Callithrix jacchus: one gene and its partners. The protein of the gene in region 1 purifies or fractionates together with the protein of each later gene. This does not show direct contact. Links are inferred from orthologs where the notes say so. Each region holds a gene or a part of one and is shown on either strand. Other genes may lie near its edges. The genes, in order: UBQLN2, PSMD2 and HERPUD1.

Region 1 (3,746 bases):
TAACTATAGTTTATTTCATATTTACCTTTAAAGACACTGTGTATTTTCTTGTGTGATAATATCATAATGTGCTCGACTAATCTCATGTAAACCGATATTTTAAATATTTAAATAACGTTTTAAAATGCTACAACGTATATACATTCTATACATAAATATTTTTGCATCCTTATCTGATTATTTTCTTAGGTGAGTGTCTAGGTTAGGCATTTCTAAATAAAGGTGGAAACATTCGAAATGCTGATATATATTTTCAAATTGCCCTGTGATTGTAACAATTCACACTTCAGCTAGCCTGAGAGTGCATTTTTTAGGGGTCCCTGTCAACAGGAAGGTTTACCATTATTTTTTTCCCCTGCCAATATAACCCAAAAGTAGAATTTTATTGTTTTAACTTGAATTTTTTTTTGATTACTAGTGAGATTAATCGTCCTTTTTTAATGTCTATTGACCATTTGCACTCCTTTTGTAAAATGCATGCTCCTGCTGTCTTCTTCCCTTCCCCCATTGGGGGTTGTTCCTCCTTTCTTTTTGCTTTGTCAGAGTTCTTTATTATTCATTTTTCGTCTTTTACGTGGGATCGGTTCGAATCAGGCTTTCACCCTTTTACTGCCTTACAGATTTCTAATGTTTATTCTCCATCGGTCTTTTAATGTCGTTTACAGAAGCTGACTCTCTACCGCCGCCTTCTCTCCGTCCCACCCTCTCTGCCTCGCCTGCTCTGTACTGTTCTGTTCTGTTCTCTCTCTCCCTTTGTTTCTCTCTCTCCCTTTTTTTTTTCTTTTCAGTGCAGAAGTTTTTAATTTTGACCGAGCCAAATCTATCAATCTAGGCCTGGCGCCGCGTCAGCAGAGAGGGCGGGGAGGCGAGCGCGGAACTGGGGGAGGGGAAGGGGCGGGGAGCAGCAGGCGGAGCGGCTGCCGGAGTTGCTGGGAGTGCGCGCGGTCGGATCACAAGGCGGCGGCGGAGGAGGCCTAGAGACTGGAGCGCGGAACCTCAGCCCGCGGCCTACGCCCAGTCCTTTCTCCGGAGGACCACGGAACCACAGTCTTCATCACAGAGGTACCGTGCTCCGCGCTCCCCGCCCGACCCGGCCCAGCCCGCTACGGCGGCGCCTCCTTCCTTCCTCCTTCCCTCGCTCTCTCTCTTTCGCCGGCCCGCGCCTTTCCTGCCCGCCTGCGTCACCGCGGCCGCCATGGCTGAGAATGGCGAGAGCAGCGGCCCCCCACGCCCCTCCCGCGGCCCTGCTGCGGCCCAAGGCTCGGCTGCTGCCCCGGCGGAGCCTAAAATCATCAAAGTCACTGTGAAGACTCCCAAAGAGAAAGAGGAGTTCGCGGTGCCCGAGAATAGCTCGGTCCAGCAGTTTAAGGAAGCGATTTCGAAACGCTTCAAATCCCAAACCGATCAGCTAGTGCTGATTTTTGCCGGAAAAATCTTAAAAGATCAAGATACCTTGATCCAGCACGGCATCCATGATGGGCTGACTGTTCACCTTGTCATCAAGAGTCAGAACCGACCTCAGGGCCAGACCACGCAGCCTAGCAATGCCGCGGGAACTAACACTACCTCGGCGTCGACTCCCAGGAGTAACTCCACACCTATTTCCACAAATAGCAACCCGTTTGGGTTGGGGAGCCTGGGAGGACTGGCAGGCCTTAGCAGCCTGGGCTTGAGCTCGACCAACTTCTCTGAGCTCCAGAGCCAGATGCAGCAGCAACTCATGGCCAGCCCTGAGATGATGATCCAAATCATGGAAAATCCCTTTGTTCAGAGCATGCTTTCGAATCCCGATCTGATGAGGCAGCTCATTATGGCTAATCCACAGATGCAGCAATTGATTCAGAGAAACCCAGAAATCAGTCACCTGCTCAACAACCCAGATATAATGAGGCAGACACTCGAAATTGCCAGGAATCCAGCCATGATGCAAGAGATGATGAGAAATCAAGACCTGGCTCTTAGCAATCTCGAAAGCATCCCAGGTGGCTATAATGCTTTACGGCGCATGTACACTGACATTCAAGAGCCGATGCTGAATGCTGCACAAGAGCAGTTTGGGGGTAATCCGTTTGCCTCTGTGGGGAGTAGTTCCTCCTCTGGAGAAGGTACGCAGCCTTCCCGCACAGAAAATCGTGATCCACTACCCAATCCATGGGCACCACCGCCAGCTACCCAGAGTTCTGCAACTACCAGCACGACCACGAGCACTGGTAGTGGGTCTGGCAATAGTTCCAGCAATGCTACTGGGAACACCGTTGCTGCAGCTAATTATGTCGCCAGTATCTTTAGTACCCCAGGCATGCAGAGCCTGCTGCAACAGATAACTGAAAACCCCCAGCTGATTCAGAATATGCTGTCGGCGCCCTACATGAGAAGCATGATGCAGTCGCTGAGCCAGAATCCAGATTTGGCTGCACAGATGATGCTGAATAGCCCGCTGTTTACTGCAAATCCTCAGCTGCAGGAGCAGATGCGTCCACAGCTCCCAGCCTTCCTGCAGCAGATGCAGAATCCAGATACACTATCTGCCATGTCAAACCCTAGAGCAATGCAGGCTTTAATGCAGATCCAGCAGGGGCTACAGACATTAGCCACTGAAGCACCTGGCCTCATTCCAAGCTTCACTCCAGGTGTGGGGGTGGGGGTGCTGGGAACCGCCATAGGCCCTGTAGGCCCAGTCACCCCCATAGGCCCCATAGGCCCTATAGTCCCTTTTACCCCCATAGGCCCAATTGGGCCCATAGGACCCACTGGCCCTGCAGGCCCCCCTGGCTCCACCGGCTCTGGTGGTCCCACCGGTCCTACTGTGTCCAGCGCTGCACCCAGTGAAACCACGAGTCCTACATCAGAATCTGGACCCAACCAGCAGTTCATTCAGCAAATGGTGCAGGCTCTGGCTGGAGCCAGTGCTCCACAGCTGCCGAATCCAGAAGTCAGATTTCAGCAACAACTGGAACAGCTCAACGCAATGGGGTTCTTAAACCGTGAAGCAAACTTGCAGGCCCTAATAGCAACAGGAGGCGACATCAATGCAGCCATTGAAAGGCTGCTGGGCTCCCAGCCATCTTAATTACATTTCTGTACCTGGAAAAAAAATGTATCTTATTTTTGATAATGGCTCTTAAATCTTTAAACACACACACACAAAATCGTTCTTTACTTTCATTTTGATTCTTTTAAATCTGTCTAGTTATAAGTCTAATATGATGCATTTTAAGATGGAGTCCCTCCCTCCTACTTCCCTCACTCCCTTTCTCCTTTGATTATTTTTCCTTCCTTCCCTTCCTCTTGTGTCCCCCTCCCTCCCTCTTTGTTTCCTTCCTTCCTTCTTTCCTTTAGTTTCCTTTCTTATCTGTTTTGAATGGTGGGAATCAATGCTGTTTCACTCAAAAGTGTTGCATGCAAACACTTTCTTTATTCTGCATTTATTGTGATTTTTGGAAACAGGTATCAACCTTCACAGTTGGGTGAACAAGTGTTGTCCTACAGATGTCCAATTTATTTGCATTTTTAAACATTAGCCTATGATAGTAATTTAATGTAGAATGAAGATATTAAAATCAGAAGCAAATTATTTGAAGCTCTCTAATTTGTGGTACGATATTGCTTATTGTGACTTTGGCATGTATTTTTGCTAGCAAAATGCTGTAAGATTTATACCATTCATTGATCTTTTTTGCTATATTTGTACACAGTACAGTAGGCACAATTGGAACTGTACATCTAAAAACATTACAGTAGAATTT
Region 2 (3,746 bases), on another chromosome or scaffold:
GCCACTCCTTAGCCACTTCTCCTGCCAGATGCCTACAGATACACCCAGACCATTAAGTATAGCTTCAGGGGATGCACTTCTCTGTGGGTCAAGAAATGCATTGTCTGGGAAATTCAATACACAGATACTCCAAGATAGACAGTACTCTGGATTCTAAATTATCCTAGAGACTCAGAGCCCCCTTCAGATTCCCAAGAAGAAAAGATCTTACCTGACATACTCATGACCCCATGATGCCAATTCCTCCTGGGAGCCCACTAGCCGATACTTGAGGCACTCACGTTCCCCACTCACGGTCATGGCCAAAACAGAGATGATGTCAGCAGCAAAACGCTATAAAGAAAACATTCCTTTGAAGTCAAACCCAGCAGTCCAGCATTAGGGGAGCATGCATCATGGAATCAAGATCATTGTCTCCCAAATTAGCTATGTAGATAGTACAAAAAATTTAACAGGCCATCTAAGCCAAACCTCACAAAAACCAAGGTTGGTGTTGCTATCTCCATTTTTTTTTTTTTTTTTTTTTTTTTTTAATTTTTTATTGGATTATAGGTTTTGGGGTACATGAGCAGAGCATGCAAGACAGTTGCGTAGGTACACACATGGCAGTGTGCTTTGCTTTTCTTCTCCCCTTCACCCACATTTGGCATTTCTCCCCAGGCTATCCCTCCCCACCTCCATTTTTTTTTTGAGACAGAGTTTCGCTCTTGTCACCCAGGCTGGAGTGCAATGGTGTGCTCTTGGCTCAATGGAACCGCTGCCTGACAGTTCAAGTGATTATCCTGCATCAGCCTCCTGTGTATAGCTGGGATTATAGTTGCCCGCCACCAAGTCTGGCTAATTTTTTTTTTTTTTTTTGTATACTTAGTAGCGACGGGATTTCACCATGTTGGCCAGGCTGGTCTTTAACTCCTGACCTCAGGTGATCTGCCCACCTCAGCCCCCCAAAGTGTTGGGGTTACAGGTGTGAGCCATCGTGCCCCGCCACTACCTCCCTTTTAAATTAACACAGCTGAAGGGTGATAAACAAGGGATAATGTGGAGAAAAATGAAAGCTCTTAATTTTAGTTTAATTACAATTATAAGCTATTAAAAGGTTTTACACAGAAAAGACCCACAACCAACAAAGATCAGGATAGGTGCTAGGTGAAAGACAGACTGTATAGGAGAAAAGGACAACAGCAAGAACGCCAGTTAAGAGGTGCTGCAACAGCCCATGCAAAAACCGAACATCTCCAGGATTAGGGTTGCACCAGCAGGCAGAGAAGTGACTGAATGTGGAGCATATTTTAGACATGAATGTACATGGGAGAGAAGGAAAGAGAAAAATCAAGGTTAAACATGAGTTAAAAATAACCCATGCTAATGAAACCCTAAAGTCCAACACAAATGACAGAAACAGTATCTTCTGAGAAGCTGATCCTCCTCTCAGCTCTTTTGTGGACATTTTGACTATGATGAACTCGCTCAAAGAGATCAGGCCTTAGGTCTATCAGGCTTCCTGTGACTCACAACGAGCCCCATGGTCTGAGTAAAAAGAATTCCTAAACGAGGCCTCCACCAGGTTTGAAACAGTTTTACCTTATTCTCCCCAGGGGCCATGTTCTCATAGATTTCCTTTAGTTTGCCATAGTGTGGGCGCAGAAATTTGAGAGGCTTGGGCACTGAAGTCATGGAAGTCGTAGAAGAACGAATCTGCCTTCGCAATTCCTCCAGCGCTGGTCGATACAGGGATGTGTCCTTCTCCTGATCAAAAGATGATAGGGCTCAGACAAAAAGGAGTCACACCCCTCCAAGTCATAACACAGAGATATTTAATTTAACAACTCCCCCAAGGAAATAGCTGTGTCTTATTCATTCACCTGTGATTCCTTAACTCCCTGCACCCTGCCTGGCACAGAAACAAATGACCCAAGTTAAAAGTTAGGAACTCTGCTTCTCCCACAAAGAAAGCTACAAAACTGTACAAATACCCTTTGCAATTCTCCTGCCTCCCAACATCATCATAACACTGATCCTAAAATACAGCCCACCGCACACAGGAGTTGCCTCAAAACGGAATAAAACAGGTGGGAAAGATCCAAACGTGCACGGAATCATGTTAACCTCGTGACTCACCCCCAGTCGTTCCACGAGCATCTCCAGTTCATCTTGAAGCTGTTTATCCTCCTCGGACTGGAGGATTGGGAGAAACAAGCTCAAGTAGAGAAGGAATCCCAAAGACGTCCTCCTCCCACTTACCCGGGCCAGGTGGACAAGGAAACAGAGTAGGAATGGGGAGCCTGGTGGGAAATCAGCCTGGGTTCTGAACCAGGCTCTACCTGAATGCCAGTCTAGGAAACCGAGGTGACAATGACCCGCCCGAGCCCACCTCACGCGGCGGTGGTGAGAGTTGGTGGGGACGGCAGAGGTGACAGCGCGGAATGGAGGAATGAGGAGCAGAGAGTCAGGGTGCCGGGAGTCCCGGGGGTCGCCCCAGCAGCCCTCTCCCTGGTGCGGTGGGGCCGTTGGGAGTCGGGGCTAAGGCCTGCGGAGCCGCCGTGACTCAGCCCCGCGGCCTCCTCCGCCGGCTCTCCGGGCCGCGCCTCACCAGCTCCTGCTCTTTGTCCTTGTCCCCGGCATCCCGCCGCTCCTTGCCGCTCGGCTTCTCGTCCGCGCCGCCGGGGGCCGCCGCCGGGGACTGCTGGGGCTGCACCGGCGCCTTGTCCCGACCTCCTTCTTCCATCTCCGCCGCTACTGCCGCCTCGCTGCGCGCGCACCAGTTCACACCTCCCTTTTTCCCAGACAGCCTCGCGCGCCTCCGCCACGGCGCCCCTCCTCCTCCAGAGCCAGCCTGCGACCGGAAACGCCGGGGCGAGCCCCGGCGCGCGGCGACCCACCCACCCCCGCGGCCTGAGAGCCCGGGCCTCGGACCCGGCCCCCGGAGGCCGGCGAAGACTGACACTCCCAGCGTCCCCCGCGCCGTAGGCGCCACCCGACCCCCTCCTCCCCGGAGTTTCCTGAAAGCCGCGGGACTTCGCCCTGTGGGGTTTGGGTGCGCTGGCTGCTGTAGAAGGGCGGTCTGCGATCCCAGACACCGAGATTTTTCGGTGGTAGGTTTTTCTCATAACGGTGTAAATAGAACCCACAGTGACACTCCAGTTGGCTGCGTGGCGCGACAGACACACTGGATTTCTTGAAATCCTGGACGCTTGATAGCCGCCTGTTTAACCTCTGTGTTAACTGTCTAGCCCACACCACTGTGGAATATTAACTTCATTTGGTGGTGGTGTTTTTGAGACGGAGTCTCGCAGTGTCACCCAGGCTGGAGTGCAGTGGCGCGATCTCAGCTCACTGCAACCTCCGCCTACCGGGTTCAAGCGATTCTCCTGCCTCAGCCTTCCGAGTAGCTGGGATTACAGGTGCCCACCACCACACCCCGCTGATTTTTGTATTTTTAGTAGAAACGGGGTTTCACTATGTTGGCTAGGCTGGTCTCAAACTCCTGACCTCAAGTGACCCGCCTGCTTTGGCCTCCCAAAGTGCTGGAATTACAGGCGTGAGCCATCGCGCCCGGCCTATTAACCTCATTTGATATTCCTTCCCAGTTGAATGAGAGTACTCTGCTATTCCCGTGGCTACCATTTTAAATCCTTTGGGGAGCCAAATGGAGTAGAAGTCGGTCAATAAAGTCCTGTGCTTCGCGCCAAATTCTGGAGCTAAAAGCAGAACAAGACAAGGTCTTCCTACTCTATATCTTCTCGTCT
Region 3 (3,746 bases), on another chromosome or scaffold:
GTCAGTTTTGTTTTTCAAGATTTTTTTTTTTTTTTTTTTCCTACAGAGGAGGAGGGAATGCCTACAATAGAGAGGCCTTTGTGGTCCCACTTCAGGAATCAGAGAACCCTGCCCTCCTCGTCTCGGCCCCAATTAAAGGGTGCATGTGTATCTTACAAAGTGATGCCCTTTTGGCAGGGACTCCCAGTGTGAGCAGGGCTGTGGCTGACTTGTCAATCATCATATAGGTTATGTCCCAAACGTGCAAGTCAGAAGCCCACGGAAATTGGCAACAGCTGCCTGGATGCCTCCATCCTCCCAGCCCAAGGAAGATCAGGCCTCCCTCCTTCGTTGTCCTTCCTATGAGCACGTGACGTTCTCCTGGGTGGACTTGCACAACGGGTTGCCCAGCTGTTCTTTGAGGGTCAGGTGGAGAGTCTTCCCCTATAGGACGGGCTTCCCCGGGAGGTTTCCATGTGGGGCCACCTGAGGCAGGAAAAGGAGAAGTGGACACTGGCACCTGGGGTGAAAAAGGGCGGGGGTGCAGCTTTGTGAGGAAACAATTTGAGGAGACTGCTAAACTGGGGTCTGCTGGGATACACCGCTCCCACCCCCTGCCTCGGGCGCCCTCAGTCACCCGAGCTGGGGGCCCCTCAAGTCTCAGGCCAAGCCCTCGCGCGCTTAGCGCGGGCCGCAGCGCACCCAAACATGGCCGCCAAACCCAGGTTCCCGGGGCGCAGCCGAGCCTGAGGGTGACGCAGCGGCGGCGGGTTGCATCAGCCCGCGCCCACGTGCTTGGTCCGCCCTCTGCCTCCCGGATCCGGACGCCGATTGGGCCACGTTGGGACAGTGTCTCCGCCTCAGCCAATGGGCAGCAGCCACAGAGGGTTCTGTCCGCAGAGCCGAGCGCGGGGAGCCCATAAAAGGCTCCCGAGAGTGGGGCGCGTGCCCCAGGGACGCCAACAGTCGTTGCGGAGTTTGCGGGCGGGTGCGACACCGCCTCTTGGCACCTCGGAGCGCAGCTGAGCCCCGACACAGCCGCCGCCATGGAGTCCGAGCCCGATCCCGAGCCCGTCACGCTCCTGGTGAAGAGCCCCAACCAGCGCCACCGCGACTTGGAGCTGAGCGGCGATCGCAGCTGGAGCGTTGGCCACCTCAAGGCCCATCTGAGCCGCGTCTACCCTGAGCGTCCGGTGAGAGCCGCCCCGACTTCCCGCCCCGAGGCTGTGGCCCCCAGTGCCGCCGCGTCCGCCTGCCCTGCCCTGTGGCCTCCCCCTCCGCCGGCCTTCCCTAGACGGCTGCGTTCGCCGGGTCGGTCACGTGCCCCAGGGCTGTGGTCTCCCCTTCCCTGCCCCGCCGCCGCGGGCGCCCCTCTCTTGCCCAGGGACCGTCACTAATCAGCAGCCTGACCTTAGGCGAGTCGTTTCACCCTCCAAGCCTGCTTCCCCCCAGCGGTCAGGCAACTCGGTGGTTCCTAACTGGGCTTGCACCCAACGGCTAGGAGTAAGAAAACATCCGTGCTGCAAAATGAGGGTTGTGAACGCAACCTCCCCGCGGGAGAGAAGCGGGCAGGTGCCACCCGGAGCGGTGGCTTGAGAAACCTGGGGAGCACCCAGACCCTGTGGACGGAAGGGCCCACACCCAGAAGCAGGACGTGGCTCTTCTCCCTGTCTACCTTCCGCCGGGCCCCTCCCTGTCGCACTGGACCGCGCAGCCGTTGCCGAGTCCCGGGGAGGAGCCCCGTGCACTTTCTGGCCAAGTGCGACTGAGAAGGGAAGCAGGCAGTAGTCGCCTTCAGTCTGGTTTTAGGACGGCAGCCTCTCCATTATTAGCGAGACTTCTTTGCTTTGTTTTGGTTGACGCATCTGTCAACATCACCCTTAGCACCGCCTGCCCTGGCCGCCACGTGATGAGGCTGTAAGCTGGCCCTTCCTGTATTTACTTTCTGCTCCGATATTATGTAAGTGTCAGCAGTGTTCTTCACTGCCCACGAGCATAATTCTCTATCACACAGGAGAGGGCATCCAGGCAGGAAAAGATCGTGTAACCCGAGTTCCAACTTTTGGTTGGAACTCACCTGTGTCTGTTTTTGTTCCATGTGGTCAAGAAGGTAGAAGTGAGTTTTCCTTCTGAGTTGTTGTTTTGAAATTTGCATATTGATTTAGTACGCGTGTATTCCATGTCCTGTGGAATTCACCCTGGTACACTTTTCGGTTTCACCAGAGCTGCGTCCAGAAACTGGGTGGCTGTGTTGCCATGAGAATGTCTGTTGGGTACACAAATTGGTGAAGCAGGTGTTGCCTATGGTTGCATCATATGGTAAAAGGCAGGGTTTCGGAGAAGGGTTTTTCTTAAGGGCTTGCTTTGGTGACGGACGCCAGTCCCATCTCTTCAGTCTAAAGACCTAAGATTGTAAATAAATATCTCTCAGGTATACAAATTTGTGTCTAAAAATTATTATGGCTGAAACATATTTATCACTTGTTTTCTGTGGTAGAAAATGGTATACTGTGAGAAGCCCTACTTTGTAATAGTTGTGCTTAATTTTTTCTCAAATCAGCCATTTGAGTGAAGACTCAATGTCAAGTTAGGCCTTTAAAAAGGGTGGAAATAATTCAAAATCACTGGCAGCTGTGGTTTTCAAGCCTTTTCTAGTGGTTGAACTCTAATAAACACAGAGCCATACATATCTAATAGATACTGTTTTACAAATTCATATATAAGCATGTACCTTTAACATTCTCACCTGTCAGTGAGAAAAACGGTGAACCCAGCATTCAGTATATTTTGGTTTAGTTACAGTGTCAAAAAGTCCTGATGTATATGGATAAGTAGATGGACTTTTGGCTTTGTTTGTTTTAAACAGCTTGCTTTAATTATCTCAAGCTGTTGGCAGGAACACCTTTATTCCAGGTTTTGCATAATCAGTTATGCTGGCAAGAGTAGGTATACACGTTGCTGATCTCCAATGGACAGACAGATTATATGTTAATATTTGAGGCCATTATTTTTAAGTACAGTTTAGAGGGAGTTTCAAAGAGATTTTTAAAATGAGATTTGTATAAAAGAATGTGCAGTCCCTATGGCATTAAAATCGCTGATATGGAGGAGAAGAGGGTTTGGAATTGTGACACTGGCAGCAGATGACCTTGGAAAAGTAAATTTTTCAGACTTTCCTCCCTTAAAATAGGGATACTGAATCTCACAGGGTTGTTGTATATAATGTCACCCACACACCATTTCCTCTATAACTGCATTTGTATGCCAAGAAATCCTCTATAAAGGCTTAAGTTTAGAATAGCTTCATATTATTCTGGGGCACTGCTAGGTGATTTTGGTGAAGGCTGGCCTTGGGAGTACTCTGAGTTTTTCCTGAAACCAAACTCAGTTGCTGTAGGAGCCCTGTTCGCTGTTTGTTGTTGTTATGAAAATCAGTTTACATGGGAGTTAAGAAGTATGTTGCCCTACATAGGTTTGGACTGGAGATAATTTACCTGTTTTTTTTTTTTTTTTTTTTTTGATATAGGGTCTCTCTCTGTACAATTCCCCTGTCTCAGCCTCCCGAGTAGCTTGGATTACAGGTGCAAGCCACCATGCCCAGCTAATTTTTACATTTTTAGTAGAGGCAGGGTTTCACCATGTTGGCCACTCTGGTCTCGAACTCCTGACCTAAGGTGATCTGCCCACCTTGGCCTCCCAAAGTGCTTGGAGTATAGGCATGAGCCACTGTACCCAGCCGATAATTTGCCATTCTGTATTTATTTGCA

Evidence for each region.
Region 2: the proteins of UBQLN2 (region 1) and PSMD2 purify together in Homo sapiens (affinity purification with mass spectrometry, with the first as the bait; 3 studies listed by BioGRID). This does not show direct contact. The link is inferred for Callithrix jacchus from reciprocal best matches to the Homo sapiens genes UBQLN2 and PSMD2.
Region 3: the proteins of UBQLN2 (region 1) and HERPUD1 purify together in Homo sapiens (affinity purification with mass spectrometry; 3 studies listed by BioGRID, with this or other methods). This does not show direct contact. The link is inferred for Callithrix jacchus from reciprocal best matches to the Homo sapiens genes UBQLN2 and HERPUD1.

The regions. Positions count from the first base shown.
Region 1 is NC_133524.1:56,702,380-56,706,125, forward strand, and holds the start of UBQLN2 (ubiquilin-2), read left to right. Parts: upstream 1-910; 5' UTR 911-1,195; coding exon 1,196-3,070; 3' UTR 3,071-3,746. UniProt on the Homo sapiens protein: Plays an important role in the regulation of different protein degradation mechanisms and pathways including ubiquitin-proteasome system (UPS), autophagy and the endoplasmic reticulum-associated protein degradation (ERAD) pathway.
Region 2 is NC_133516.1:13,275,288-13,279,033, reverse strand, and holds the start of PSMD2 (26S proteasome non-ATPase regulatory subunit 2), read right to left. Parts: upstream 2,739-3,746; 5' UTR 2,726-2,738; coding exon 2,591-2,725; intron 2,176-2,590; coding exon 2,119-2,175; intron 1,747-2,118; coding exon 1,582-1,746; intron 334-1,581; coding exon 212-333; intron 33-211; coding exon 1-32. UniProt on the Homo sapiens protein: Component of the 26S proteasome, a multiprotein complex involved in the ATP-dependent degradation of ubiquitinated proteins.
Region 3 is NC_133521.1:14,807,264-14,811,009, forward strand, and holds the start of HERPUD1 (homocysteine-responsive endoplasmic reticulum-resident ubiquitin-like domain member 1 protein), read left to right. Parts: upstream 1-1,025; coding exon 1,026-1,172; intron 1,173-3,746. Other genes in the region: uncharacterized protein LOC118149719, read right to left, coding at 157-1,027. UniProt on the Homo sapiens protein: Component of the endoplasmic reticulum quality control (ERQC) system also called ER-associated degradation (ERAD) involved in ubiquitin-dependent degradation of misfolded endoplasmic reticulum proteins.